4 linked regions of the Drosophila melanogaster genome follow. The protein of the gene in region 2 interacts with the protein of the main gene of each other region in a pairwise test. Each region holds a gene or a part of one and is shown on either strand. Other genes may lie near its edges.

Region 1 (8,248 bases), on a different chromosome or scaffold from region 2:
AGTGAATAAAAGGCAAAAGGTAAATAACAACTTTGTGAAAAACTTTAAGGGTCGATAAGTATTTGGAACACCAAATTACATCAACTTTTCTAGGTATCTACGTTCAGTCGGACGGAAAGACGGACATGGCCAGATCACTGGCAAGTGATCTTAAGAAAGATTAATACATATACTTAATGTCTGATATCTATTTCATATGTTAAATCAAATCTCGAATACCCTTTAATACCACAAATAACGATTAAAATAATATAGACATTAACTTCTAATGTATCCGGCTTTAAAAGGATCACTTTTAAGAGTGATTAAAAAATCATAAGTGTAGTGTTGGATTCAACCACCATTTCTTCACTTAACTCAAAACAACAATGGACATCCTCACCTGTGTATAATTCGACTCGGAAATCAGAGGAGAGCCGCGTCTGGACCTGGACGAAGTGCTGGAAGCAGAGAACGGCCCAGGCCACGAAGGCCAAGGCAGCCAGGAACAAGAAACTTATGCATTCGAACATGATTCCCGAAATTTTGTTGTGTGCTGATAACGTGTGTAGTTATAAAAACAGCTTTCGAACAAGTCGGGCCTCGTGTGGAAAATAAAGAAATATCGGACACTAAAATCAAAGCGAATAAGATTGTAAAAGGACTCTGTTTCTTTCGGTTTCTTTTTAATTTCTTGAAATCTTAAAAAAGCTATTAGAATTTCAACTTATTTATTTTAAAGAAATTTCTTTTTTTTTTTGATGTTTTAAGATATTTGATTTGAAACAATTTTATTCCAAATTAATTTTCGACTGTTTGGTACAACAATGCATATCAATTACTTAAATTTATTTATTTAATTTTGAATTCAATATTGTCTTCGGTATTTGTACGACATTGTACGTTATTCATCCCGACTTGCGGCTGGTCACACTGCGCTAAACAAAGTACGAAACGTGATTTTTCGTTTCAATAATTTTTAAAGTAAATAAGCAACCTTGTCCAAATAAAATGGAGATGATGGTATGTAGTGGCTAAAAGAAATTAACCGATTCTGATTAATGGACTTGTTAGCATGGAGCGTCGCTGCTGTCGCGGCCAGCGGAGGAATTTGGCAACGACACCCTGGTGGAGGAAATGTGGGCCGCAAAAGCTCTGGAACACGCCGAGGTGCACTTTAATGTGAGTACACTTTGAACGATGTTAAGGAATGGTAGTTGACACTGCTTCATCGTATTCCCGGCAGCTCATCACCAGCGTCCATCCCTCCCAGCTGAAGCTCACGCCCTACGACGACCAGATATACGCCACTTTCCGGCAGGATTTTCCCGATCTTCACGTTGGCCGGCTTACCGATGATATTCTCAAATCCGCCACGGCGAAGCTCAAGTGGCGCCAGTTCGCCGAGAAGTTTAACAAGTTGGACGATTACTCGTATGGCACCCTGATGCGCGCCGATGCCAGCAGGGAATTCTCCCCGGACAACTCTATCTTCGTGTTTCGCGTCCAGTTTCTGGCCATCGAGATTGCCCGGAATCGGGAGGGACTCAACGATGAGGCTTACGAGAAGCACAAGCCCGCCAGAAAGGTACCCGAAGAGGAACAGTAATCCCTCGCTCTAGCTTAGATTAAGTTGTAAAGACTGGATGCATATTTAGCTGCAGTTCGTCTATCTACTTTAGTAAACAATCAAATTATTTTTATACAAAAAATAAAAATATAACGACCGCCTTTAAATTGTTCCCTACACGTTGCCATTTCTTGACTTTGTATTCTGCTTTCTGCCAATCTGTGGGATGAGATCCACATCTTTAATAAAAATTAGATTAACATTTGATCAAAGTTGTGTTGTAATAATCTAATGTATACATCTCAAAGTTCTGATGCAAACATTCTGTTTAAAAACATATTCGCTTTTATTGGGAAATCGATTCCATTTTATCTGTGAACAACAATAAACCCATGGTTTTATGTTAGAATATTGTATCCTAAACTATATATTGTATATATTAAATATATAATTAATGGGATTTGCCTAGTTGCTACATGTATTGCCCGCACTTGGTCCATCTTCAGTCTTGCTTTTGGGCAGTCTAGCGAATCTGCTTGCGCCCTGTTCTTCTCAATTCCGCCTACAGTCCACTGGTGTTGCTGGTCATCAGTATGAACGGAATAAGAGCATCCATCTGCATCTGCCCCACCAAGTTGGCGAAGAACAGCTCCTCCATGGCCTCTGCGTCCAGGCTGCTGAGCGGAAGAAGGCGAGCCACCAGAACATTAAAGCGCTCCTCGCCGCCGCCGATGCCACCCTGCCTTCTCAAACTTGACAGAGCGTAGAGTTGGACTCTGCGGACGTAGCCTCGCAACGACCGCTCCTTGCGCTGCTGCAAGAGCGTTGGATTGAAGAGCAAGATCAGACGCAGCAAGCCAAACTCCATATCAGTAACATCCAGTGACTGGAGCTCCTGGACAAAGTCGTGCAGGGTCCTGGTGAGATTTGCCATCTTCGAGATCTTCAACGGTTCGATCTTATCGATATCCGCTAGCTGGCGAGTGCTTTGAATAAACTGCCCGATAATGGTGGGCACCGAAAGCTGACCCTGACACTGCGCCAAAGCTATAGCCATTAATGCTGGCCACACTCCTCTCAGGAGTTTCACCTGTGTATGGGCTTCCAATTGTTCGAAAACTGGAACCTTTCGAAGGGTATGGATGGTGAGAAAAATGATTCGCGAGCCCGTCTCACACACATAATGAATATTTAAATACGAGTGGACCAAAGTCGGCGGTTGCACATGAAAGGCACACTGCACATCGGTGAGAAGATCCTGTTCAAAGACCGCCTCATTGATAGCAAAATCGCTTCCACCGCTTCGGTTCCCACCGCACTCAAAGTCTAGTTCCATGTGCTCCAGCTCCGCGTCTACGGCATCCTCGGTGCCACTGTCCTCCGCCTCTGAATCGCACTCGGGCTTCACACTCAGATTACCATTTCGCTCCAGTTGGTTTTGGATGGGCTGCAGGATCTGCAGTCCCTTGTGGATGACCCGCATGTCCAGCGAACTCTGAATAAGCCCCATTGTCGAGGTGGTAGGCAGAGCGGTGGGTACTTCCCCAGCATTAAAGTTCAGGTGCTGCGAGTTGTTGTTGCTGGCGCTGTTGGCGAGCAACTGCAAGCACAGCGTGCTGCTGTTGTCCATTGAGTCGTCCTCGTCATCCTCGGGATCTGCCTTCGGAATATCTGGCGAATAGCTACCACTCTGTTGATGCTGTTGCTGTTGTTGCTGCTGCTGTTGGGTAGCGAACACTGCAAAGTCAATAGGAGATTATTAATGGTGAATTCGTTTAAAAGAAGTTAAATATGGATCAATCATGGCAGTTAAGTATATATGACCAACCAGAATGTAAATCAAAGTTCAACTTACTCAATGTCTGCGTTAGTTCTGCGAAATTCAAACCCATCGGGAATATATTCTCATTCAAATTGAAGGCCGTTGCTGGCGCGCTGTGCACTGGAGGCGTGGCCGCGGATTCGGCCTTTACACTGTGCCCCTTGCCACGCCCCTGCTGATAGCCGGACTTGCCGGATAGGTAGGTGGACGAGCCATTACCGCCGCCAGAAGTGGATGAGCTACCGGCAGCAGCGATGATCCCCTCCTTCCTGTCCACAATCGGTTTCCTCTCGTGCTGCACAGCTGTGAACAAAAGTTGATGAGAACGGAAGGCAATTAATTAGAGCGAGAAGTGAGGTGAGGATGCGGTTTGATGATTTTCAAAGCGAGGTGATGGTGAGTAAGTGGGTGAATTGGTTAATGTTCGTGCAGGCTGGGAATCTTTTGTGCCTCCGCCGCTGCAGTTTTAAGATGTGCAAGTTACTGAAGTGGATATTCACGTTACAGAAGCAAACACTGGGATGCAATTAGATTCACGTGATTACTTGGTGTAAAATGCACTTCACAGACGAAAATTGAATTGAATTCAATTGAAATTGAACTTTCTCTAGATTAGACTATTTATCTTTGAGTCCAATTCGAATTGGAGATCATCCAACCAGTTCTTGATTAAGCTCTGGGAAACTGAGTTCCTGTGAATCGATAACGTTTCATTACTTGTCAGAGTTAAATGCTACATATATGATATCTCCTAATTTCTACAATGCAATTCTGCTAAAGCCTGCTGGAGCACGTAGACTCTGGCCAGGCCAGAGATTGGTTATAGCTTGAGACGACGACTTAAACGAAAATTACAATCACTTCGCATGCCGCTGGCCAGGCACTTCTGTAGTCGACAGAACTGGCACCGATTCCTGTGGTGCTTGGTGACCTCGCAGTTCATAGCCCCGCGACACTGGTAGCCCAGCTGCTTCCGGATCGAGCGCTTGAAGAATCCCTTGCAGCCTTCGCAGCTTATGGCTCCGTAGTGCCGCCCGGAGGCGCGGTCCCCGCACACCAAACACAGCTCCACGCTCAACGTTGCGGATGCTCCGGCTCCCATTCCCACGCCGCCTCCTGGCAGAGGAGTGCCGCCTGAGGCACTGCCTCCTCCGATCAAGGGCATCGCTCGGTTTTCTGCAAGGTCAGAGGGCAATGGCAACAGTCGCGTTAGAATGGGCTCCAAGGTGGCATGGCTCGGGTGATTGGACTCACCTTCGCTTTTGATGAACGTCTCAACCTTAACGCCGTCCATTGTCGCCACAGCAGGCGGCTAAAAAATAGTCGTCGGCTGTATAAATAACTGAAACCCAAACATCTTCACATATGTAATTTAAATTTTACTTGCAATATAAAGTAGAGAAGAGATAAATATGGAGTGTGTCTAGAATAAAGGAATTACGAGCCGAAAAGAGAGGTATGAGGTGGTTAATTCTATCACAAAATATATTTATATAGTAGATAATAATAATAATAATAATAAATGTATTATAATATATTATATTGATGTTTTCAAAAAATAAATCATTGAATTTTACGCAATATAAAACACCGTTGCTGCTGCCAACAAAAGTGCTACTATTTTGGACGCAGCTGTAGCTAACGTAGCCAGAGCTATTTTAATAGAACCTGTTTTGGCTGCATCTGTGTGGGTGCCTGTGATGTGAATGAATTGGTCTTGCTTACTTGGCTCTTTGAAAATTCTTATTGGACGTCTGTTATCACCATTCTTGAGCTTTTAAAAACATCTATTTTTCGAGGCACTTGGTTAAAGTTATGTTACTTCCGGTCAGTTACGATATTTTCAGGCACTTTGTGCCTATTTTGAACCTTTTCTAACGCAATAAAATCTCCTTGTTCCAATTCACTTGCGAGCAGTGTGACCGCAGTTGGGCTCTTTCAACATACCATCCGGTCCCATATACTAAAAAAAGGCAGCTCATTGTGCAAATATACCAAAACACCTGTAGAGCTACAGTTCGTTGAAATTGTAATTTTTAACGTAAAACAAAGGATAATAATAGAATTACTAATATCAATAATAACAAAGGCGTGTCTAGGGTACAAATTAGAGTCAAGCTTAATCAATTAACACAAATTTTAATTCTCATAAGCCCACAAGGACATAATATTAAATTTTATACTTTGAGTTACCTTGGCTATTTGATTAAATTGATAAGCCTATCCCAAGTTTTTACTTAACTTTTGTACTCAAAACTAGGCGCTCTGCCGTATTAGCGCTCTGGTATTGATCCAAAGAGAAACATCTGTTGATGCCTTCCATGTGGATATAGTTAAAAAGAAGGGGCTTTTGTTTACAAAAATACAATTTAATATACAAGTGAAATTGTTACAAAAAAGCTATAACGAAAAGAGCCCTAAGAATGGAACTAGTATATTTGATTGTGTTCTCCTTTCTCGCGTATTTTTTGGTCTTACAAACGACTAAGCCACAAATTGCTCACACAAATATCGAAAGGCAGACAGGGTTGAGTGAAAGTATACTTCTGGGTTTCGGAATGGGGTCATGGATGGGCCGAAATGGAAATCAGCAAGCTCACAAACATGCACACTCCGCCTACACAGTGCCACTACAGTCTAATATTTCAATTATTTATTCTTTAAGCCCATTGCCCGTTTGGTGGCCCGTCCCAGGAAGATGCCGGTGAGGAAGACCAGGCCCGTGGCGCTCATTAGTATCACAAGGAAGAATTTCCGCGCCGGAGAGGCGACGACTTGTTGCACTAGCTGCTGCACATCCTCGGGCGGAAGCGCCAACGTGTCGTCTGCGTTCCTGAACATCTCTATGCGTCGCTGCAGCTTTTCTCGGCAGTCCGCCTCTAACGAGTTCGGCGTATCCTTCAGCAGCGTCCTTAAGCAATTAAGTTCTAGAACATAGAGAGAAAAACATTAATTATTATATTTATAACCACACCAACCACACACACACACACACACACACACACACACACACACACACACACACACACACACACACACACACACACACACACACACACACACACACACACACACACACACACACACACACACACACCCCCCTGCACCAAAAAGGAATGTTCAAGAAATTTCATAATTTGCTGCCTATCACGTAACTTCCCGTTGTTTATTTACACTATGTACTGTTCTTATTCTCTTAGTCAATCTGCCTCCAATTATATCGATCTGCTTCAAATACATAAGCTGTTTGATAGGTGCTTTCACTAAGAGTTTCCAGTGTAGGAAGAGGAATTCTACTATCTGCCCCCCCTGGCTGATGGCCTGGCCAAAGACCCTAGAATAACAAGATGCGTAACGCCATACGATTTTTTGGCACACGATTTTTTGGCCGTGGCTCTAGAGGTGGCTCCAGGCTCTCTCGAATTTTTGTTAGAGAGCGAGAGAGCGAAGAGCGCTACAGCGAACCGCTCTTTTCTACGCATACAGTGATAGCAGACAACTTTATGTGTGCACACGTATGCTCATGCATTGTAAATTTGACAAAATATGCCCTTCACCTTAGAAGTTCTTTGGCTTTAAATCTATATTATTTTTGATCAATTGGCACCATGCGAAAAATTCTTGTTTTGCATTGCCTTAACGTTATTATTATTTGAAAATAGATTAGAAATAGTCAAATCTATGTACATATTATCACAAAAATAAATTTCAAAAATGACTTTATATAAGAATATTTGTCATTAGAGTATTCATCTTGCGGCGTGTGAAAAATTAATAAGGCAATGATTGTTGAGTCAAAGACCCTAGAATAACAAGATGCGTAACGCCATACGATTTTTTGGCACACGATTTTTTGGCCGTGGCTCTAGAGGTGGCTCCAGGCTCTCTCGAATTTTTGTTAGAGAGCGAGAGAGCGAAGAGCGCTACAGCGAACAGCTCTTTTCAACGCACAAAGTGATAGCAGACATCTGTATGTGTGCACACGAATTCACATGCATTGTAAATTTGACAAAATATGCCCTTCACCTTAGAAGTTCTTTGGCTTTAAATCTATATTATTTTTGATCAATTGGCACCATGCGAAAAATTCTTGTTTTGCATTGCCTTAACGTTATTATTATTTGAAAATAGATTAGAAATAGTCAAATCTATGTACATATTATCACAAAAATATATTTCAAAAATGACTTTATATAAGAATATTTGTCATTAGAGTATTCATCTTGCGGCGTGTGAAAAATTAATAAGGCAATGATTGTTGAGTGCTTGTGTCCGCACTTCGTGCCTCAAGATATGAACAAAGCAAAGACACTAGAATAATTCTATTGTCTTTGATATTACTTTTGCAATTTAATTTAATTGCATATTTAATTATTTAGTATATTTATTAAATCATTTGACTTAATATGATGTAACATTAACATTAAAAGTGTTTCAAAAAAAATATTTCGCTTTTAAAAAATTTTCAGATGAGAGACAAATTAGAATTAAACATAAATATAAATGTGTAAACGGTAGCTAATTCGAGCGGCGATTTTAACAAACAAATTTAAAAAGCTTTAAAATTATAATAGTCAGGGCGCGAATTTTTTAAATTTTTTTTATTTTATCATATTGCTAGGAAATTGGCAAAAACTACCCTAATATGTACAATGTAAATTCGTTTCTTCGATCAGAATTGATTTCGGCCCGAAAATCGTCTTCTAGCACAACACGCACACTTATACGCGTTCTCGTCTCTTGTTTTTACTCACACAAGCAAGCAAATTATATTTTTAGATTTCTTACGCTCTCAGCGGGAGTGAGCCGAAAGAGAGTAATTTTGGCCGTCACCAAAAAAGTGGCTGCATAGTGCCAAACCAATGTATGGCCGTTAC
Region 2 (8,258 bases):
CCTGGCCACCAGTGCAGGGCACACCACCAAGCTGCTGTCCATAAAGGCGAACAATGTGCAGATGGAGGAGCTCTTTAGGAGATTGGATAACGAAGAGTTCCGTCCTAGAGGCGCCAACGAAGAGTTGATCTTTGCAGCAGCCTGTGAAAGAAGTAGGAAGCTTCGGGACTTCTATGGAGCGCTTTCGTTTGCCGCCTTGAGCATGATTCTCATACCCCAGTTCGCCTTGGACTGGTCCCACCTTCCGCTCAAAACATACAATCCGCTTGGCGAGAATACCGGCTCACCTGCTTATTGGCTCCTCTACTGCTATCAGTGTCTGGCCTTGTCCGTATCCTGCATCACCAACATAGGATTCGACTCACTCTGCTCCTCACTGTTCATCTTCCTCAAGTGCCAGCTGGACATTCTGGCCGTGCGACTGGACAAGATCGGTCGGTTAATCACTACTTCTGGTGGCACTGTGGAACAGCAACTTAAGGAAAATATCCGCTATCACATGACCATCGTTGAACTGTCGAAAACCGTGGAGCGTCTACTTTGCAAGCCGATTTCGGTGCAGATCTTCTGCTCGGTTTTGGTGCTGACTGCCAATTTCTATGCCATTGCTGTGGTGAGCTGTGAATTCGCAACAAGAAGACTATCATAAATGCTTTCTAGAAAAACAATGGTCTTAATTTGTTTTCCCTATATACATAATTGTAGTTATCTGACGAGAGGCTGGAGCTCTTTAAGTATGTGACCTATCAGGCGTGCATGTTGATTCAGATTTTTATATTGTGCTACTATGCCGGGTGGGTATTCCATATCCGAAATGCCTCCCCAGGCCAGTAATGAATTTCATCGTCAGTGAGGTAACCCAGCGCAGCCTGGACCTTCCGCACGAGCTGTACAAGACCTCCTGGGTGGACTGGGACTACAGGAGCCGAAGGATTGCGCTCCTCTTTATGCAACGCCTTCACTCGACCTTGAGGATTAGGACACTTAATCCAAGTCTTGGTTTTGACTTAATGCTCTTCAGCTCGGTGAGTTCTTTCCGTGTTTTGACTTTTTTGTGCACTGTAGCCAATTTCCATAATGAGGCTCATTAGCGAATTTAAGTTCGTGGCCTATAAAAGGCTTTCCTCGTGCGGTTCATGATGGAAAAGTGAAAATTGTCAGCATGTCTCAGCATCAGATGGTTACGGAGGACTTTTATAAGTACCAGGTGTGGTACTTCCAAATCCTTGGTGTTTGGCAGCTCCCCACTTGGGCCGCAGACCACCAGCGTCGTTTTCAGTCCATGAGGTTTGGCTTCATCCTGGTCATCCTGTTCATCATGCTGCTGCTTTTCTCCTTCGAAATGTTGAACAACATTTCCCAAGTTAGGGAGATCCTAAAGGTATTCTTCATGTTCGCCACGGAAATATCCTGCATGGCCAAATTATTGCATTTGAAGTTGAAGAGCCGCAAACTCGCTGGCTTGGTTGATGCGATGTTGTCCCCAGAGTTCGGCGTTAAAAGTGAACAGGAAATGCAGATGCTGGAATTGGATAGAGTGGCGGTTGTCCGCATGAGGAACTCCTACGGCATCATGTCCCTGGGCGCGGCTTCCCTGATCCTTATAGTTCCCTGTTTCGACAACTTTGGCGAGCTACCACTGGCCATGTTGGAGGTATGCAGCATCGAGGGATGGATCTGCTATTGGTCGCAGTACCTTTTCCACTCGATTTGCCTGCTGCCCACTTGTGTGCTGAATATAACCTACGACTCGGTGGCCTACTCGTTGCTCTGTTTCTTGAAGGTTCAGCTACAAATGCTGGTCCTGCGATTAGAAAAGTTGGGTCCTGTGATCGAACCCCAGGATAATGAGAAAATCGCAATGGAACTGCGTGAGTGTGCCGCCTACTACAACAGGATTGTTCGTTTCAAGGACCTGGTGGAGCTGTTCATAAAGGGGCCAGGATCTGTGCAGCTCATGTGTTCTGTTCTGGTGCTGGTGTCCAACCTGTACGACATGTCCACCATGTCCATTGCAAACGGCGATGCCATCTTTATGCTCAAGACCTGTATCTATCAGCTGGTGATGCTCTGGCAGATCTTCATCATTTGCTACGCCTCCAACGAGGTAACTGTCCAGAGCTCTAGGTTGTGTCACAGCATCTACAGCTCCCAATGGACGGGATGGAACAGGGCAAACCGCCGGATTGTCCTTCTCATGATGCAGCGCTTTAATTCCCCGATGCTCCTGAGCACCTTTAACCCCACCTTTGCTTTCAGCTTGGAGGCCTTTGGTTCTGTAGGGCAGCAGAAATTCCTTTATATATCATTTATTACTGGTTATGCTCTTCTCCTTTCAGATCGTCAACTGCTCCTACAGCTACTTCGCACTGCTGAAGCGCGTCAACAGTTAAATTTCGAAACACCGCAGCACCTAAAGATTTTCAAGCCGATTTTTAAAAGCACTCAAAACGTTATGCACGTACATTAAATGAAATTATTGTGTAGAAATTAGCAGTTGCTTATTATATAGTTCGAAAAACTAATTGTGTCTTCTTTCCTTGGGGTTTCCTAAATCTTTTATTTACTTTTTATGCCTATTTATTTTCACACTATTTTCAAATCGTGGTAACGGTTTTAGAAATCTGCGCAAGACAGTCACACTGCGGAAAATACCAGACAGCTGCTGGTACGGAAAGGTAACACTAAAAAACAAACCAGAAATGCCATAACGCCTACAATTTGCTGACGGACAAAGATTAAGATGTCGGAAAACGCGAAAAACAATAGCTGCCTGCATTGCAGCGTATTCAGTACGAAATACCAGTACCAGGAGATCTTCGATGAGTTTGGAATCGAACTGGGACTGCAGTCCCTGCTGTCCAGGCATTACCAGCTCGAAGTGTCGCCCGATCCGCAGAAGCAGCAACTCCTGTGCGAAGTGTGTGTCACCAATCTCATTCGCCTCTTTGACATCGATGAACTGGAAAGAGAACGGGAAGCTGCGAAGGATGCGGCCCAGGGCAAAGATTCCAAGGCAGAGGAGGACCCCATTATTATTACCGAGGTCCAGGCAACTCCACCAGCTGCGAAACCAGCCAAGAAAACAGTGCCTTCAAGGCCCCTGACTAAGGTTCTGCGACCAGTGCCCATTATTCCCACCCGGGAACCGAGTGCCCGGATAAGGAATAGAGCGGCTGCTGCTTCCAATGTAACGCCTGATACATCTAGATCTCCAGAGCCACCAGAGACGCCTTCCACCGAAGATGCTGTTTCCAAAAGTGAGCCAAAACTGGTTTCTAAAGTAGCAGATCAGGAACATTTTAGTGTGCTTATACAAAATATTCTGGACGAAGAGGAAGCTGTTGTTGAGGATGAGACCGCAGTGAAAGAGGAGTCCAGTGAAGCTGTCCAGGTCACAGAGGAAACAGAAGCCCCTGGCCAAATAGTCATCCTAAACAGCGAGGCTGTGACAGACACCAATCCGGATGAGAATGTTTACATATACGAGCATGAGGGTTTGTTTTAATTTTACCTTTTCCGTCCATTAAGTAACACTTAAATTGTTCTAGATGTTATGGATCCAAATTTGGACAATGTTAAGGTAAAACCCATAAGTTGTTCGTCTAGATTGGTAGCTCAAGCTGAGGAAAGTCAAAGCGATGATGACATCGACGAGGGAGAGACTAGCAATGTTGTTCTGTTTAACTTTGTGGACATCAAAGAGAGTGGGTATAATATCAAAAACTAAAAGGCAATCACAATTCTACATATCTTTACATTTACAGAGGATGAAGTTGATAATATTCCGGAGTACTTGGCCACCGTGGTGAAGACGAGCTTTGAAAAGCTGACATTTCAGTGGTGCACTGTGTGCAAGCACTGCTCTCTGAAATGTCCCACATTCGAGAGCCTTTTTAGTCACTTGTCAAAGGCACACAAAAGCCGGAGAGATGTCTACGAGTGTCCCATCGAAGGATGCAACAAGGAGTTGAAAGGTCGCAAATTCCTAGCCATGCATCTTGTTTTGTTGCACGCGCCAGTGGCTGAGTAATTATATTTACTAAAGGAAATATTTGTGTAATATATATGATGCTTGTATTACCTAGAATTCCGATCTACGGCAGCTGTCCGGAATGTAAATTGACGTTCTCCAACATTCTGCAGTACAACAAGCATTCTTGCGCGCATGTAATAAAAAAGAAGCGAGGTTTTCGCTCTTATTGTGAAATGTGTTCGCTGGAGTTTCCTTCCTGGAAGCGGTATGTTTATTCTCTCTAAAGTTAACCAAACCAATACTAATAATACTTATATTTCTTTACAGTTTTAATTTCCACAGCCAGTTTCACTTAGAAAAGCACAGACCAAGAGCTTGCTTCGTCTGTGACTATGCCACCACGAACATAGATGAACTTTTTCAGCATTTAAATTATTCTCATGAGCCAGTGGGCACCTTATTCTGCGACCTGTTAGTATTACAAATGCTTGTTAAGACATTTATATTAATTATTTATCCCCTAGTTGCGACCGCACTTTCCGGGACCCCTCCGTTTTTATGGAGCACAATAAGTCGCATGCCAATGTTAGCAGCACGACCTACTCTTGCAGCGAATGTATGGCCAACTTTGAGTCGCGGGGCCGGCTAAATGGACACATGGTAGGGCATGAATCTAAACATCAAATCCTTCGAATACGCTTTGTGGTACAGGAAGTAATTGAAATCCTTCTTTCAGAGAGCCATGCACGGCAGTGTAATAAGCTGTGAACTTTGTTCCCGGGAATTTGCCACCGAAGCTACTTACAATATTCACATGAAGAAGCATCTGATCATCGAAAAAGATGTGCACGTGTGCAGCACCTGCGGTCTATTAAGTGATAGCCGCGAAACCCTCCTAGCCCATGTAAATTCCGTGAAGACAGCCTGTTTTGGCTCGAAGATAGACGTGGAACTCCTACGGGATGCTTATGTGTGCGAGTACTGTTCCTCGTACTTCAAGGAAAAGGACTGTCTTCAAGCCCATCGCGATTCCGGGGTACATAAAGATGGAGTGTTTTTGTGTCAGCCCTGCGGCAAAGAATTCCCACATATGAAACTTTATCGCCATCACCTGCGCAACTATCAACAACTTCGATCGGACTCAACACATCGCAGGCTAGAAATATGTGTTTACTACATGTGCGACCAGGAAGTGAGTTGTCCTGCGTTTGGTCACAGAACGTTTGATCATAACATTATTTCCTCTCCTTTCAGAACTGCACAGAGTCTTACGTGAACTGGAACTCCTTGTACACACACAAGCGGCGCACACACGAATCCGCGAGCAAGCAGGCCGAGAAGAGTTCAAAGTCTGCCCAGGAATGGGTTTGCCAGTTTTGCTTAAAGGAATGCCGGTCAAAGATGTCCTTGTCTGTTCATGTGGCAAGGAGTCATAACAATGGTAAGTATGGTGTGCTTTATAATATGTTCTTCTTTTAATAAATAATTTTATATTTAAGACAACGTCACTTGTCCGTTATGCAATTCTTCGTACAAAAGCCATGATGCTCTGGCCAAGCACCATGCCTATTGGCATGAACCAATAGAGTGTCCTGAGTGCTTTAAAATCGTCAAAAACCGACGAAATTATGACACTCATGTCAATGTGGTGCATTCGAATAAGAAGCGCTATTCCTGCAGTGTCTGTCAAAAGGGCTTTTATCACAAGAGTGAAATGGAAGCTCATCAAAAGGTCAGTGCAGTAGACGGATCCACAAACGGTTCATATTAATAGCATATTTCCTGCAGCTTCATGGGCAGTCTTACAGCTGCGAACAGTGCAGTTTCACCACCAGGAACAAAAAGTCCCTTTCTGTTCATGTTCTTGGTCAGCACTACAAGCGATTCGCGTTCGAGTGCAACGTGTGTAAAAAGAGGTTTGGACGCAGTCAAGGATTGAAGACGCACATGCAGCGAGCCCATGGTGATAAATACACGTGCCGCGACTATTTCGACGGCGGCTGTGGACGGACTTTTGTAAACAGTTCCCAGTTGAATGTGCATGTCCGAAAGATTCACGATGGCATCATTTTGCTCCAGGAGGATGTGGTTGAGGAGGACGAATACATCACCGATGATGCGCCATCCACATCTAAAAAGCGCCGCCTAAATGAAAATAATGAGTTTATAGAGGAAGCAGATGGGGATGACATAGTGATGGAAGATGATGACGAGGAGGCGGACGATTTTATTGACGAGATACCAGATGAGGACACACAGAATTAAGGCTGGTACATTTCGGTAATGTAAGATTTGCTGCTAAAACAGATTTATTTAGTTTGATTTTCATTTGTTTGCTACCAATTAATTGAACACAAATGATGTCCCAAAATGACATTAATATGCATTCCATAGTATATAATATATAATTCTAGTGATAATGTAATGGCTACTTTAGCTAATTTCAATTGCAATTAACTAGCCAGAGTCTGGCGGAAGCAAATTTGATTTATTAAGCGTTGTAGTTTGGTCATTTAATTGCTGAAGATTGTGTGCGGAGCTTACCTGAAATTGTTATTAACTTGTTTTAAAAAGATTCTTAACGAAATGAAACAAATCTTCCAAGACTTACTGGGCTAATTGGTGTTATAACAATGGCGGTGCGCGTGGCACACTGCAGCAGCGCCGTGTCCTCGGTGGACTCATCACAGTCGCCATCGGCATCCGCGTCCACATCGACTTCTACGCCAATATCACTGTCGATCTCCCAAGTGGGGAAATGATCCATTTCACCCTCACAGTTAAGATCCTCCTCCTCGAAGTCCTCGTACTCATCGATTAATATAACTAAATGGGAGATAGTTTGTGTTTAGAATAATCTAACTTTTAAATGCTTTCACAACACGTATCATATTTTTTAAAATAAGAATTCTCTAATCTGTCGATATACATTTAATTCATAGTTATAAAAAGGAAATTAAAAAAATATAGAAACAAAAAAAGCCAATATAATGATTTAACGTTTTATTTATGTTCCCATTCGCTAGGCAAGTAGTCTAAAACTTTTACGAAAATAATACTATAAATAGAATAGATCTAATTTTTAGTTACTTGAACTATCTGGCGGCGTTGGCTTTGCACTGCTGTCCAGGGAATCAGCTCCCTCATCGGGTATAGTGATCCGTTGCTCCTGCTTGCTATACGGCTCCGATGTTGATCTATGAAGGCTGCAGGTTTTCGGATGTTTATACTGGTTATATGTAAATGTAAATATTTGTTTATTTCAGAACACACCTTAACGTAACACGTTTTTTGGTTCTATTCTCTAATTCAGTCATAAAAACATCATTGTGCTGCTGCTTCTCAGACCCCAACTGATATGAGTTAAGCACGGAAGACTGTACAAAGTGGTTAAATTTGCATCACATACTTCCAATGGAATTAATTAGACTGCGGTAATACCTTTGTATTGGTCGCTGTATGCTGCACATGCGGCGGCATGGGGGTTTGTGTGGCGATCGCATCGGTTGTGGTGGTAGGCGTTTGCGTGGCTGTCAGGGATCGCAGCTCGGAGCTGTCCGGCGCCGAGGGATTCAGCAAGGGTGTGGTGGTCACCTGCTCCGGATGGACACTGAGCGCCGCGGTCCGTTTCCACACGTCGATCATCGCCAGGTTGTGGGCGTGGTGCAGGGGCTTGTGGCTAGGACTAATGGAATGTATTTTGGGCTTGGCTGGCAGCGGAAGAGCCAGGAATCTATCACGATCCTCCATGTAAGCTTTAATCAGAATGTCTAGCTTCTCTTCGATATCAGCAACCTAATATAAGTCGGGGAAAATTAATTAACTATACCATTGTTTTAATGTTTTTCTTTTTAGATTGTAGCTCACCTGCCTCTCGACTTTAACCACGCGGGAGGCTAGGCTTATTTTGGATGCATATACATCCTTGGCCTTGGACCCTTGTTTGCCTAGGATTTGATCCAAGCTGCGCACAAGTTTTGTGTTAATTAATATAGGTTAAGAAATGGGAATTCGGGTATATTTCTTACCGCAAGTGTAGCATTTTAACGCGACCCAACAAGTCGACGTGACCTAAAATATACAAATCGTATTAAGAGAAGGTGGTACTAAAGGTTTATATATATTATAAGTATTTTAACTATCCCGTTTGTAATATATTGAAAAGTTTAAAAAAGAGTATCGTAATCGAAAAACCTGAGCTTAAGTTCTTTAAGACGCCCATAACGGCGTAAATGTAATTTTGTTACTGTTAAGTCGATTTTTTTTGTTCGTGTATCTAGAT
Region 3 (6,866 bases), on a different chromosome or scaffold from region 2:
GGCTTTTGTCCAATAAAACGTTCACTGGTTGGGAAGCCAAGGTGTCAGAGCGTCCGTATGCCACGCCAGCTCTATGCCAACTGATTCCGAACCCGAATCCAGCGAGCGAGAGAGCCAGAGGCATGCCCATACCCATACCCATGCCAGACCTATACCCAGACCCAGACAAACCCACGCGCCTGGGCTGCCGCCTTTTCATGTGGGTCTATTGATAGTGCAAGCAAAAAAGTTGAGTGAAACGAAAAACGGGCGAAAAAGCCCGTCTCAGTTGATAAATCAAACACACACATGTCCGTACATATGTACATATGTACACATGATCCACACCATTTACCACAAGTAGTTATGTGCCCGAAGAAATTCGAGCAGCGATCACGTCCAAAACGTGCTCGGCTAAGAACTATTTGTTGTTTGTAATCGAAGGCGACCGCTCTTCTCGACAATTCCAATCGCCAGAGAGCTATGTTGAAACCTTGATGGGGTAAAACTAGATTGTTCCCACGATAGCAAATGTTCTTATCTAAGCGAATCTCTTTTCAAGTTGTTAGTTAATTTAATTGAGGCGGTACAAAAATGATGGGCTTATCATTAGGTAAAGTTTGTATATCGAATATGGAATTTCAAACGCCGGCGCCAGCAACTCGATGCGGATGAAGATCTTTGGAGTGTATACAAATGTCGGATTGTAGTGGAATAAATAAAAGTAATGTTCCCCATCGGAACGTTCGTATGCCTTATAAGAACACGGAATTCTTGGCGATTATATAGTCAATCTCGCTCGTCCAGGGATTCTTGAAGGCCCGCCACTCGCTCTGCAGCTGAATGTAGCTGTTGTCCTTGCACCGGAAGCGGTAGACCTGAGTGGTCACCTTTTCCGGCACCTGCATCACCATCTTGTGAGACTCCATCAGCGCAGCGATGTCTTCGTTGTGGAAGTACTCGTAGAAGCTGGTGCCGAGGATCTCCTGAGGCAGGAAACCAATCACGAGGGTGGCACTGCCAAATAATTTAAGTCGAATCATCAGAAAATTAATGCCCATAATCGTACCTACCGCTGGTCTATGAACAGGAACTTGCCCTCGCCGGAGTGGCGCGAGATGAAGAGCACGTGCCGTATGTTCGGGTGATTGTCCAGCGAGGCGGGTACTGTGGAGTTGCGAACGTTGGGCGGAATGCGACCAATTGCCACAAGGCAGGATAGATTCGTTGTTTGCTCGTCGCTGTCGGCGTCCTGGTCCTCGTCCTTGATGGGTGTCCAGGACTTGAGGTAGCCCGTGCACTGGATAACCCGGTACTTGTGGCCCGTAGTCAGTCTGGACTTGCGCTTCGTGGAGCTCCGGGAGCTGGAGGACGTATCGGACTCCTCCTTGATCTGGTTGTTGCTGGCAGTGCGCAGCTTCATGCGGCAGAAGAAGGAGCGCCGGGCACCCGGACACAGGCGGCACAAGCTCTGTGGAACGTCGGTCTTAACGGGCAACATGGCTGCAGGTGATAACGCAAGGAGAAAACTTAAGTGACGTACTGAATCTCACACTTTCGCATGGCCACTTACTCTTCGCATCGATAAGCCTTTCCCTGGGACACTGTTCCAGTGAGGATAGCTGCTCCTTAACCTTGCCTATGTCCTTCGGATGCAGGACGTCGAACCAGCTCTGTCCCAGCAGGTCCGCTTGGGTGCTGTTCAGCACACTGGACACCGAATCGGAAACGTACAGGATGCGTCCTCGGTCACAACCCACCACGAACAGGAATCCCTCCGACGCTTGCAGGATAATCATCTTGAGCTCCTGGTCGGACAGGAAGCTAGGCCGGTAATCGGATCCGTTGAATGGATGTAAGCTGCCGCTGCCACGGATCCCTCGCAGATGCTGCACTGCCATCCGGAGCACAGTCAGTTTGTCCAGCTTTCGCTGCATCGCAAAGCACATGGGAATCATGGAGGAGAGCTCGTTGATGTACGTGTTCATCTTGTCCCGACGCCGCTTCTCGATCTCGCTGTGATTTTGCCTAATTAAAATAAATGATATAACGTTAAAATTATAAATGCATATGGATGCAGGAATCTGATTGAAAAGACCAATTAACTTTTCCGAAATAATCATTATTAGTCTTGAAGTCGAATAAATGGATATGGAATTAGTTAAGCCTGAATAATGTTTTCCGTACTTGCGATTTTCATCCGAGGTTCTAGCTGACTTCTCCTCGTCGTAGTTTTCATCTTCGATCTCCTCCATATTTTCGCTAAATCGAAAACAACAAATGGTGAATTAGAAAACAACCCCGATATTTAATCAACCAGTGTGGATTTCCCGTGTAACGGGCGTCAACTGTTGCTTCCTCTTCCCTTCACACCCACACGCACACCTGGCCAACTTGTATGAGCGTGTGTGTGCTCGTTTTCGCGATTGTGCGTTCGTGTGGGTGCTTAACGCACACACTTACAGCTCGTTTTTATGCAATGTGTATGTAATTTGCAATGCACTTTTCCAGTGAAACTCACCAGAACTCCTGAACTTCCATCGCCAATCGGTGACGTTTGCTTATGAAAAATTAAGCCCTTTCCGACGAAGACCTCCCTTTTGTTTGTTTACTAACATCGACTAGCATCAACGTCCCAATAATAACATTTAAAACGGAAGTTTGTGCAGGCCGACAATTTGTTGCAAGCTTTTCCTGCATCTTCAGCTTCGAAGCTGCAGTGTGAACGTGGCTGCAAAATATACCAGCAACTTTCGGAAGAATACCAAGGGAAACAAGCTTTTCGCTTAAAAATACCATTTGGCGCCAATTAACAACGGTATTTAAATATTTAAATATGAAACTCATATGAATCAATTTTCATTATTTTACTTTGGCTAGACAATCTGAGTAAAAATCAACACAAGTCGAAACAAACACAAACAAACAATTAAATACTATTTATATTTGATCCTTAGTTTAATCACATCTTAAATGTGATACATTTTATCCAAGCATATCGTTATGACCTGCATATAGCGATCCCAAAGACATCTGGTTTCTTGGTCCCTGCAAAACATTTAGAGTTGATTATCAAAAAAGTTACTTGATTAATCTAGACAAAAGTACCCACCTTGATATTTCCAGATCCAAAACGCTTTGCGTTATGGAAGCCAAAAATTTATTCACTTGCTCACGGTTCCAGCCATTCTGACGCCAAGGATCAATAAGCTTCTCACAGAGATCGACGAAAAGATCGCGCAGCTCCCGATTGCGATGCAAATTGCAGGCGATGGTGATCAGGGCGCGCCAGTAAGAACTGCAAATCAAAACAGATCAATAGTAAGAAAAGGTGATAATGTCGAGAAATAAGTCCTTACCGAAAGTTGCCATCCAGTTCGTGAAAGGCGCGCTCGAGAAGAACGGGTTTGAGGCGCATGCAGACGAGGCTAAATGCAAGGACTAAACTATATAATAGCTCGTGTGCGGTAGAAAAATAAATCTCACTGCTTAATCTCCTTTTCCTTGTCGAGTAGACAGCGCAACTCCCGCAGGTCCAAGAGAAACTCTTTGTCCATTTCGGTATCATAGTACTCCGGTCCAGTGTGCTGCATTTAGTAAATTAGTTTCGTAAGGAATTAGCAGAGCTAAGTCATACCTGGTAAGTATACGTCCAGTAGATCATGATGGCATGGGAGCAGGTCAACAAATCACTGAAGCTCAGGTATTGCAACTTTTTTTTGGTGGTTTCGAAACGCAGGCAGGCCAGGAAAACAATGCAGGCGTACTTTCTGTAAGAGTGAAAGGTTTAGCTTTTTGAAGTTCAATACATTGATTATATTCATACTTGGCTAGATCGGTGGATATGATGAAGTGTTGCTTGATGTTGTTGGTTAACGTGCCCGGCATTTCCTCGACTGCCTTAAAAATGCGTTTTACGTTGTCAAATTGTCGGCTGAAGAAGAAGTTGAAATATATTAGACTCTACTCTGCCTAAGTAGCGGCCAAATTTACCCACCGAACTGATTTTAGCTTGACGCACGTCTTCTCGGCCACCTCGTCGAGGTCCTTGCGGTAGCGGGACGACAGCTTCTTGCCAAGAATTTCGCGAGCCACCACATCATCGATGGAATAGTACTTCTCGGTGATAAGGTCACGCATTTGTGGCTCCAGCTGGAAGCAGGATTGCTCCATCAGTTTGGTGGGTGCGTTTAGGTATAGTTCAATCAGGGAATAGGTGCGGTAATGATCCAGTACATCCGATGCAATCAGGTCGCTGGGAGCGCCCATGGAGTGACCAAAACCCTTCTGTTTCAGATAGGACACCGCCTCGCTGGCTATAATTGTAAATCGATGGAGCCGTTTGACATGAAACAAGATTGCAATTGGGAGAAGAAAACTTACAGGAGAAGCCTTCGATCCATAGCTGGTAAATTTCTGGATCGATGATTGTATAATTACTTATAAACACATCCACATCGGCCTGTAAGCATTCAGTTTTACTATTTATTATTATTTTGGATCATCAGATAGTTACCATTATATTGCTAGAGTGACCGTTTTCTGAACTAGCTGTCCAATTGGATATATCGAAATGTATGTTAGAGATGAAACACTGTGTAGTTCCAACACAAGCAGCATAGTTTATTCTTCTCATGAATTTAAAACTTTTCCTTGAAAGTAATAAATCGTTCTTGTTTTCATAACATCAATATATCCTATTAATAAACAAGCGAAAATGTTTAGAGTAATAATGGTAAAACCAAATTCGGTGTGATTTTGAGTTTTAAGATCAAGTCATAAGGAAATCTTTAAAATTGTAATTCTCAGAAATCTTAATTTAATATGCAAGATATATAGCTGTAAACTTTCCGATATTTAAAAACCAGAGATGGGGCACAGATAGCGAGCACGAATCACGACTATCGATAGTGCCGATAGCGGGCGATAGCTGCAACGCGCATGACAACTCTAGTTATCATGAGGAAGAAGAGGAGGATATCAACTTTTTTAGTAAATTAGTAAAGTTTAAGCTTAAAAAATGTAAATTGCAATGAACCACCAGCTGTAAATAGGGCAATGCAACTTGAACGCGACCTGCGCGCAATTCGCATGTAAGTCGTGGTGAGCGCTGAAAAAAACGCGGATCGCGGCGGCAGCAACAACAACAACAACAACAGACCGTCCGTCGTCTCGGTAGACGTCGAATAATATACATATATCGCAATAATCCAATTGCAAGTGGTAATCCGATGAACAATTCAAGTGCATTACTATCGTTGGACCGCAGAATAAGTGAAAGTGAACTGGCATAACAATACTATGGAACAGGTTGACTCCTCCACCGAGCTGCACCTGAATAGGAAAGATCTGGCCGCGCTGGCCGAGGATGTTGTGAAAGAAGAGGTGATATTAGAAAGCTCCAGCCATCACCATCATCATCATCACCACCAGGTAAGAAAAAGGAGCAACAAACGGCTGCGTAAGGAGCCCATTTGGTTTTGGATTTTCCATTCGCTTCTCCTTTGGCGGGGTGGTTTTGGTTCCGGACTGTGTGTTTGGTTCAGGTTCTATCTATTGAATCCGAAACCGAATCTGGCTCGAAAACCGCTCCGCTTCGCTCTGCGCAGTTGTGGAAAGTGGGTGGTGGGTGGTTGGGCTAGGTGGCCTGGGGGTGGCGCAACTTGCGCCCTACGGAACGCTCCGTGCGACCCACTGGGCCACAGGCATTCCCCGCTCGCCTTCTCGCCTCCATCCACTCCCAATTTGCCTCCTCCTCCTCGTTTTCCCCCTCCACCCACCGCATTTGTGGCGCACAAATGTTGTGTATACCGATTTTCATTTTTCCCATGCTGTGTTGTTTACTTACATTCGAATTTTCATTCCCGATTCCTGTGCAAATCGCATTGAATTAAATCGCAAACGCCATCAATTGGCCGCTGGACACTCACCCACATACATGTGACGAACGTGGGAATATGTGCGCTATGGTAATGCAGTTGGACACCAAGGTTCGCATGGTCACATCCTCCTCCAACGACAACAGTGGTAGCGGCGGCGCCAGTGGCGGTACAAGCGGAGCGGGCGGAGGAAACGGCGGTGGCGGTGTGGTTTCGGTGCCCGTATCCCTGCCCATCGGTTCGATGATAACCGGCACTACCTTCAATGTGATCACGCCCGACCAGCTGCCCCCTCACTTCAAGCCGATGCTGTGCGTCGACAACAATGGCTACCTGTCCGGCAGCACGGTCAGCATGGGCAACGACCTCAAGACGATCGTCATCCAGCAACAGCAGACGCAACCAGGCGGCGGCGGTGGCGGCGCCAATAATGCGGGCACCAATACGACCGCCACAAATACGATTGGACTGAATCACGATGGCTCCGGGAGCAACAATAGCCACGACAGCCTGGCCACCTTGGAGCACGCCGCGGGCGGAGCGAGTGGCGTCGGCGGTGGCGGCGGCGGAACGGGTGGTGGCTCCTCGGGATGGTCGGAGAACCCGTCAACCCAGCACAATGAGGTCTTCCAGATCCGCTGCAAAACCACCTGCGCCGAGTTATACCGCAGCAAGCTGGGCTCCGGCGGCCGTGGACGCTGTGTGAAGTACAAGGACAAGTGGCATACGCCCAGTGAGTTTGAGCATGTGTGTGGCCGGGGCTCCAGCAAGGATTGGAAGCGTTCGATCAAGTACGGCGGCAAATCGCTGCAGTCCCTCATCGATGAGGGTACGCTCACGCCGCACGCGACCAACTGCAGCTGCACCGTCTGCTGCGACGACGAAGCAGGTGAGTCAGGTGAGACGAACAACAATTACTACACACTCCCCCCTTCTGCATGGCGCACCGAGTTGACCTGGTCATCGGTCCGTCATGGTGTCCCAGGTGCAGGACTCGCGCACAAACCG
Region 4 (7,508 bases), on a different chromosome or scaffold from region 2:
TCAAGTTTAGATATTAATTAATTAAAAAGTCTCTAGGTAAAGAAGAGTTTCCAACTTTTCTCATTAGTAAAAAGATTTTTAATTTTTGGCAACCAAGCTGTGACTTTTGACAGGTGGGTTTATAAATAAGGAAGCAAAGTCTTTTGCCAAATTCGTGGTTATCCATTTGGCCGCGTTTAGTTGCTGTTGCTAAAAATTGAGAGCGCTTTCGGGTTATTTGCGCAAAGTTGCCGACTCCTGACCCAAACCCAAATGCATAAATCACGCGAAGCCCCAAAACACAGTGGGTAGTCCTCGCTATTGGGTTGTCCTCCGCACGGAATTCAATTCACATTGGCCCCAAACTTTTGCCATTAGGCAAGCGCGCACTCCTTCTGTTTTTTGGGGAAATGCAGTTTTTCGACACTTGGCTGGCGCCAAAAGCCTTAAGTACACATCAACTGCAAATAATTTATGTTCTCAAGCCACTTGCTTTCATCTCAACCGGTGCAGTAGAGCAACCTTATCGAGTGGCAGCCATGGAATATGGTAATTCTGGAGAAGCTGCAGTCATAAATTCATTGAAATGAAATGCGAAGTACTCGTAATCGAAGCACTCGGCTGCAAGGTTTACAGTGCCAATGAATCATGTCTAATTTTCGATATCGGAGCGACATGAGTACCGATCGAAGTGGCTGAAGGATTCGGTGAGGTCGTCATCAAGCATACGGCCCGTGGCCCGGAATGATTAATGTGCCATAAATGTGCGCGCCAAAAACATTCACAGCTAGAGCCTAAGCACGCGAAAAATAAACGCAGAGGCGAAAGCAAATTAAAATACGGATTTTTATGGCACTTTTTTTATTGCAACACGTAAAACACAAATTGAGACAAGATGGAGTGGAGTGTAAGCGAATTGCGTGCGCCTGCCACAAGCAATTACAATTACAATTTTAAATGCAACGCACATAAAATGCACGGAATGTCTTTTTAAACGATAAGGGTCCGCAATTACATGGCAAATCTCGCACTCCGGAATTAACTCAGTTGTAGCCCAACATTTTAACATACCACAATGCTAAACGGAATGCATGGCGATATGCTCTCATTCAAATTGGCTGCTATTTTGGTCACATTATCGTTAATGACTCTAGGAAGTAGGCATTGCATTTAAATCTCGCTGATCCCCGCCTTTATTCTCAAAGACCCTTCTCCTCTGGCCAGCAGTTCAAGAAAATGATCGAGTGCAAGACCAGTAAACCGAGAAGATAGTCGAGAGCAATTCAACTGGCTGGGCAGGATTAGGTACACCAGGTCAGCTGGTTGGGTGTGGTATCCCTGCTCCGGAGTGGCCGTAACCATGTCCTTGTGCCTGCTCACTGTGTTATATTCCTGGATAAGGGCGATGCCTACAGCTTTATGTTTGGAAACAGAAGTCGCCTTTTTTATTCACCCAGAGTATCGTTCCGTCTTACGATGTTGCCGTCCTTAAACTGAACTCCCAACTGAGATCCTGTTTGTCTGTATCGGAGGATACAGATTCCCATGACGTGATCGCCCGACTATTCAATGTGGTCAGTACGCTGGTGGATAAGCATCCGAAAAGCCTTCATACCCTGGCCAGAGTCACGAGTGCGTGCGTACACCAGGATAAAGATTTCCTAACTGGTGCAGCTCTATTTGGGATGAAAATTGTAGATGGATCTGAAGCTTGGCATCTTTTGTGAATATCAACGCACGGCCAGTACGAAAGAAACCACAAGATACCAATAATTGGATTGGGAACCATCTTAGTCTATAACTAAGTGTCCGGAAGAAATGTAAAAATGATTGAAAATAGTAGATAAATGGCATTTACTAATCATTAAATTCAGAACAAAGTTTCATTCAAAGTTAAAGAGTCCTCTTCACACATATTGTATGTACATACTTAACTAAATACCTGTTGGAAAAGTAGATTGCATTGCGACAATAAGAAACACCTTCACACTTTATCTGCAAGAGGTTATTGTTCTCAGTGTGCAAAATCATTGTGATTTCCTCGATCGGAAAATACTTTGTTGTGAGCGAGATGACAGTAAGCGAGGTTCTACTGGTTATACTGGTTATGCGTAAGTGATGTAACCCAATTACTTTATTATGCTTATCTACCAATTTTCTTTATTTATACTTATAAGCCACTGGTATAATCACTGAAGTTCAGCGCTGTGGAAGACCGTTGGAAAATCAGCTTTACAACGACAAAACATTCGCGGAACAGGATGAGCATCCTTGGCTGGGACGTATACTCTTCAGGGATGGAAATCAATTTACCACCTGCTATCGCTGCACCGTCGTACTGCTCAATCCGCGTCGTGGCCTAGCGCCAGCTCTCTGCGTGGATGGAAGGACCAAAGACCCTTATTCTAGTGTCTTTGGAAGGACCATCCGCGGAGCTCCTTTGCATCCAGACGCTATCCTGGCAGGAGTTCGCCTAGTAAATGGGGAACCGAGACAGTACTATATTATCCGGCAGCTCTTGGCCAAATTTGATTCGGTTTTTTCAGGAGCAGATCTTTTCATGTACATCGCACCCTACATTAATTGGATAGAGGCGAGAATCAACGTATTAAACGAACGTCACATTTCATTAAAAACATATATTTAATTAGTTAAAAGAGTAAATTTAGAAACCATTAAGAAACTGCATAAATACGATTTTTGCTTTAACTTTATTTATCAATTTTAAATGTCTTGATCCAACTGTGATAGGCATTAACGGGTCTCAACGGTTAATTTTATTTTTTATTTTAAAAGTTTTGTGCAAAGAAGAAAACAATACATTTAAAATAGGGGTAGTCAACCTTAGAGCTGTCACATCGCAGAACAATCGATTAAGGAATTCTTATCGATATGTGGCGCTGCTGTGCGACTTATCGGCGGTTGCATGAGAATGGCTAGCATCACCAAAGAAGAAGAATTTCCCTCCAAAATATTAGTTTATTTTGCCAACATCGATCTCAAGGATTGTTTACGAGGTTATGACCACCATTCTAGATAACTTTCAACGCGCCGAAAAGATTGGCGAGGGCACCTACGGTATAGTTTACAAAGCGCGTAGCAACTCCACCGGCCAGGATGTGGCCCTCAAAAAGATTCGGCTAGAAGGGTGCGTAATCCAGGTGGAGCAGGACTGTGATGCTGTTCATGGCAACCATAGGAAATATTATGTGACATATGGACATATTATCCTTGACGAATGTCATCCACCTGCACCCCGCAGCCCGAATTATGTGGGAGCTGCGCCGTTTCCGTAATCCGTAGCACCACATGATTCGGCTTCGTGGTACAGGATATCATCGGTTTTTGCTAGCAAACGGGTAATCACGATTGCCAGTATTTAGCTTTATTTAATAGCATAATTCCGATTCACAGCGAAACGGAGGGTGTTCCTTCGACGGCCATTCGAGAGATCTCCCTGCTGAAGAACCTTAAGCACCCAAATGTGGTCCAACTATTTGACGTAGTCATTTCCGGCAACAATCTGTACATGATATTCGAGTACCTGAACATGGATCTAAAGAAGCTGATGGATAAGAAAAAAGACGTGTTCACCCCTCAGTTGATAAAGGTAAGTACACTAGTTTGCAGCCCATTAAAATATTTTCACATTGCCACTTTGCAGAGCTATATGCATCAGATATTAGATGCCGTCGGCTTTTGCCACACGAATCGTATCCTGCATCGCGATCTCAAGCCCCAGAACCTTCTCGTAGACACGGCGGGCAAAATAAAGGTGAGACTAAAGGTTTTACCCGCTGTTGGTTCTGTGATAATAACGAATTCCAACTCCAGTTGGCTGACTTTGGCCTAGCAAGGGCCTTCAACGTGCCTATGCGGGCGTACACACACGAAGTCGTCACCCTCTGGTACCGAGCTCCAGAGATTCTGTTGGGCACGAAATTCTACTCCACGGGCGTGGACATCTGGAGTCTAGGCTGCATTTTCTCTGAAATGGTAGTGTTATATGGAATGTACATTCCAAGCGGATCTGATTACTAAACCTAGAATTACAGATTATGCGCCGCTCCTTGTTTCCTGGAGACAGCGAGATCGATCAACTTTATAGGATTTTCCGTACCTTAAGCACACCTGATGAAACAAATTGGCCTGGTGTGACGCAGCTGCCAGACTTTAAGACCAAGTTCCCTAGATGGGAGGGAACTAACATGCCACAACCCATAACCGAACACGAGGCGCACGAACTCATAATGGTGAGTGCAGAAAATGTACATCCCCAATGGAAATCCACTACTCTGTACCTTACAGTCAATGCTGTGCTATGATCCCAACCTGCGCATCTCAGCCAAGGACGCACTGCAGCACGCTTACTTCCGCAATGTGCAGCATGTTGACCATGTAGCCCTGCCTGTAGATCCCAATGCCGGCAGCGCTTCGCGTCTAACGCGGCTCGTCTGATCGTGTCCAATAGCCCCAGATCTAGCAAATTACTTGTGTTTTCTAGTATAGTAAGTTCGATGTCTATCTCACTATCTTTAAGGCGAAACTAGTAAAATTATTTGAATATCTAATCTATTTTACAGCTGCCACCTCATTATCATGCATTCCCCATCCTAACTCGCACGTAACATACGATAAATACACGATCATCCATAAGTAAAGAGTTTATAGTTTATAGCTTAGCATGGATTACCAGGAGCTCAGCCGGGCAAGGTGTCGTTGATGATGGCGTGGCGAAACTTTGGCGGCGGAATCGTTAGCCCCTGCTGCATCGCTAGCGAGTCTCTGGCGCTGGCGGGTGTGGCTATCGTCGCGCATATACGTGCCAAGAGTATTGCGCATGCTCTCGGAGAGCGGTGAATGGGCTTCGACATCACCATCGTCGTCATCGCTAGTCGGTGCATCGCTCGGTGCGCTGCTGTCTGTTTCCTCTGCTGCATCTTCATTCTCAATGGGATGCTCCGGTTTGCTGACTTCTAATAGCTTCGTCAATGATTGGCCCTTGGCCGACAATAGGGGCAGTGGTCGAAGTAGGGTCACCTTTCTGGTTCCGAGTCTTCTCATTACGGGCGCCTCTTCCTCATGCTCGCCTTCCACATCCTCTGCCTCCCTAGGCGGCGGAATAAAAAGCTGCCGTAAAAATTAGATTGGAAATCCTGAGGACTGAAGCGCTGTACTCCGTAGTAGCTACCGGAATTGGTGTCGTAGAAGAACATCGGCTCGGCGGACCGCGGCGGAGAAGGTGGCACAAAGTAGGGATCGTAAGGGCTGTAGGCATCATCGTTCTCCGCCGAGTCGTAGCTCGGTCGGCGCTTTTGTTGCTTGCGGCGCTTTCGCTTGCGTTTTTTGGTAGCCTGTGAGGCCACTTGAGCTGGTTCCTCAAGCTGCAGCTCCTGATCTTCATCGTAGGACTGCAGATAAACCGGCGACGTCTCGATGATGTTCGTACTGCCATCGTTAAAGAAGTTGGCCAACGGATTGGTCAGGTTACGGAAACTGAAAGCGGGCTGAACACTGCGGACGAAGCTATTCCAAACACGAACCAACGGGCGTTCAGTTGTTGTAGGAGCTGCTTTTCCCAGACTATGAATATAGCGCCTTCTGTATCCACCACGAGCACTCGGCAACAGGACATACTCGATGGGATAGTTTCTGGAGCTAGAATAAAAATTTCGTTCAAAGTTTAACTTTAAAATGTCATAGTTATACTTTTTTCAACTCAAATATAATTGTTTTATAAAAAAATGTATCCTATATAAGCATATAGTTGTTTGAATTGTTTATGTGATATCTATAATATGCAATAATAATCTACTATGAATTATTGGATTAAATAAGGTTCAGAAAATACCAAAAAGTGGTTATATAAATGTCATATCTGTCGAAAATCAAAACTTCATTGTTAGTCGTCAACGTTTGCTCACCCAATCTTTGCCTGCTTTTGCGGCAAGCGTCGCTCCATCTCGTTTGCGGATATCCTTACTCCTTGCGAAGGACAACTCCATGCTACAAAAAGCACTAGGGCAGTAAACAATTGCCACTGCATTGCTGTATACAATATGTTCGTCGGGCTTACTATATAGTATTTCGAATGCGTCCGTTACCGTTCCCGGTCGAAGGGAAACTGAAACTCATCCGAATCGCGAAATCAGTGGTCAACAGCTCGACGGTGATGCCTTTGTCTTTTTGACCAGCTCGTTGGATTAGTTTTTATTGGTTCACAGAACGGTTAGCCACAGTCTTAGCCAAATTGATTTGTAATGGCATTGTCCCGAGCCCCAGATCATTTCCAAAGCTATGGCCATGTTGGTGGCCCTAACTCATGCCGACACTAAGCCAACTAACCCAATTTGGAGACCATCTTCATATCTCCCGCGGGGCTCGTTGGCAGCTGCCAATCTCGCCCATGCATATGTAAATGGATTTTTATAGATTACACAATTAATACGCCATTCAGTTCTTGGCTGCGACTGAAAAACTCGTTTGCTGGCGGGTTCTGATTTCGAAATTTTATGCTAAGCTGTCTGGGATGAGTCGTCGGCTTGCGAAATGCTTTCTCCTGACGAATTTATGCTTATGGGGTCTTCTCCTTATCAAGATTTTACGATCTATATAAACATATGGGTGTATTAATGGATGCACCGTCTAGGCAGCTCCTATTTTTTATGGCATAACTATGCTGATTGTGGTGGCAGCCCTAAATAGACACATTAGATAGATTTGACAAATTTGTCAAATTTTATTACTGATGAAATTGGAGCATGGAGATATGATATGTTTTCGTCAAAGGGAAATCATGTGAAAGAAATATCACACTTTCTAAAGATGTTGCTTGAAATAAAAAATTGTGTTAAGCTCCTTAAAATAATAAATTAAAGTTTTACCTTTTGCACAGATTGCTCAATCAAGAGACACCAAAACAAAAAGTTTTTAGTAGTAATCCCTTAAATCAATTCTGAATTGGTTGCATAAAACAAACAACATTTACTAATACTAATTTAAATATAATAATATAATATTCTTTAGACTACGTAAATAGAACAAAATAAAATCTATGCACACAAGAAGTTGCTTAACTGGAAAAGTAATATAAAATGGCCATGATAAATTTCTCTTTGTCGTTTTTTTCTATGAAGCAAAGCGATATTATTGGCTTAATATAACTTATTTTTGCTCCGGCAATCACGAAATGTGAAAATCCTTATCAGCCCAAATCGCAAGCAATTTATTGAGTCCTTTTGAAGCCGCGAAATGCAACGACAAAAGCAAAACGAAAACAAAAAGCAAAAAGAAAAGAGCAAAGAAAATTCCTAACAAGTGTTTTTCTTTGCCAAACCGAAGAGAGCGAGGGAAAGCGTAGCTCAGAGAGAGAGGCTGGGAGAGACAGGAAAAGCTTTCGACTTGGCCACTTGCAAGGCAGCTCAGTTCAGTAATCGGTTCAGTCGACTTTGAGATTGCTGGCCAGAAACGACGGAGAACGACGCTTTCCAGGACGGCCGCGTCGTGTGCTCTAGAAAAGGAGAGTTGGA

The links.
Region 1: the proteins of CG18011 (region 2) and Hr78 interact in a two-hybrid assay, tested with the Drosophila melanogaster proteins (one large-scale study listed by BioGRID).
Region 3: the proteins of CG18011 (region 2) and cyc interact in a two-hybrid assay, tested with the Drosophila melanogaster proteins (one large-scale study listed by BioGRID).
Region 4: the proteins of CG18011 (region 2) and Cdk2 interact in a two-hybrid assay, tested with the Drosophila melanogaster proteins (one large-scale study listed by BioGRID).

What each region holds. Positions count from the first base shown.
Region 1 is NT_037436.4:21,492,195-21,500,442, forward strand, and holds Hr78 (Hormone-receptor-like in 78), read right to left. Parts: upstream 5,301-8,248; 5' UTR 5,097-5,300; intron 4,990-5,096; exon of another isoform or gene 4,949-4,989; intron 4,828-4,948; exon of another isoform or gene 4,714-4,827; 5' UTR 4,666-4,713; coding exon 4,626-4,665; exon of another isoform or gene 4,548-4,625; coding exon 4,227-4,547; exon of another isoform or gene 4,199-4,226; intron 3,675-4,198; coding exon 3,405-3,674; intron 3,287-3,404; coding exon 2,112-3,286; 3' UTR 1,825-2,111; downstream 1-1,824. Other genes in the region: CG7202 (uncharacterized protein), read right to left, coding at 383-512; CG7519 (uncharacterized protein), read left to right, coding at 991-1,002, 1,054-1,161, 1,226-1,588; Glg1 (golgi complex-localized glycoprotein 1), read right to left, coding at 6,021-6,298.
Region 2 is NT_033778.4:10,139,642-10,147,899, forward strand, and holds CG18011 (uncharacterized protein), read left to right. Parts: upstream 1-2,696; 5' UTR 2,697-2,743; coding exon 2,744-3,497; intron 3,498-3,551; coding exon 3,552-3,707; intron 3,708-3,767; coding exon 3,768-4,029; intron 4,030-4,088; coding exon 4,089-4,241; intron 4,242-4,303; coding exon 4,304-4,447; intron 4,448-4,500; coding exon 4,501-4,636; intron 4,637-4,712; coding exon 4,713-5,168; intron 5,169-5,230; coding exon 5,231-5,417; intron 5,418-5,475; coding exon 5,476-5,708; intron 5,709-5,764; coding exon 5,765-6,241; 3' UTR 6,242-6,433; coding exon of another isoform or gene 6,434-6,520; 3' UTR 6,521-6,565; downstream 6,566-8,258. Other genes in the region: Or46a (odorant receptor 46a), read left to right, coding at 1,178-2,278, 2,340-2,393; KCNQ potassium channel, read right to left, coding at 6,434-6,520, 6,588-6,802, 7,067-7,182, 7,250-7,353, 7,418-7,771, 7,844-7,940, 8,005-8,047.
Region 3 is NT_037436.4:19,813,255-19,820,120, forward strand, and holds cyc (cycle), read right to left. Parts: upstream 2,685-6,866; 5' UTR 2,521-2,684; coding exon 2,501-2,520; intron 2,242-2,500; coding exon 2,167-2,241; intron 2,008-2,166; coding exon 1,553-2,007; intron 1,483-1,552; coding exon 1,053-1,482; intron 997-1,052; coding exon 735-996; 3' UTR 516-734; downstream 1-515. Other genes in the region: fibp, read right to left, coding at 2,949-3,027, 3,092-3,277, 3,339-3,407, 3,466-3,566, 3,617-3,749, 3,806-3,913, 3,977-4,295, 4,363-4,441 and 1 more; Deaf1 (deformed epidermal autoregulatory factor-1), read left to right, coding at 5,281-5,412, 5,958-6,756. UniProt on the Drosophila melanogaster protein: Putative transcription factor involved in the generation of biological rhythms. Activates cycling transcription of Period (PER) and Timeless (TIM) by binding to the E-box (5'-CACGTG-3') present in their promoters.
Region 4 is NT_033777.3:20,732,698-20,740,205, forward strand, and holds Cdk2 (Cyclin-dependent kinase 2), read left to right. Parts: upstream 1-2,925; 5' UTR 2,926-2,999; coding exon 3,000-3,127; intron 3,128-3,225; exon of another isoform or gene 3,226-3,315; intron 3,316-3,393; coding exon 3,394-3,589; intron 3,590-3,643; coding exon 3,644-3,754; intron 3,755-3,813; coding exon 3,814-3,975; intron 3,976-4,034; coding exon 4,035-4,232; intron 4,233-4,287; coding exon 4,288-4,437; 3' UTR 4,438-4,487; exon of another isoform or gene 4,488-4,562; 3' UTR 4,563-4,668; coding exon of another isoform or gene 4,669-5,637; 3' UTR 5,638-5,717; downstream 5,718-7,508. UniProt on the Drosophila melanogaster protein: Like Cdk1, could play a key role in the control of the eukaryotic cell cycle.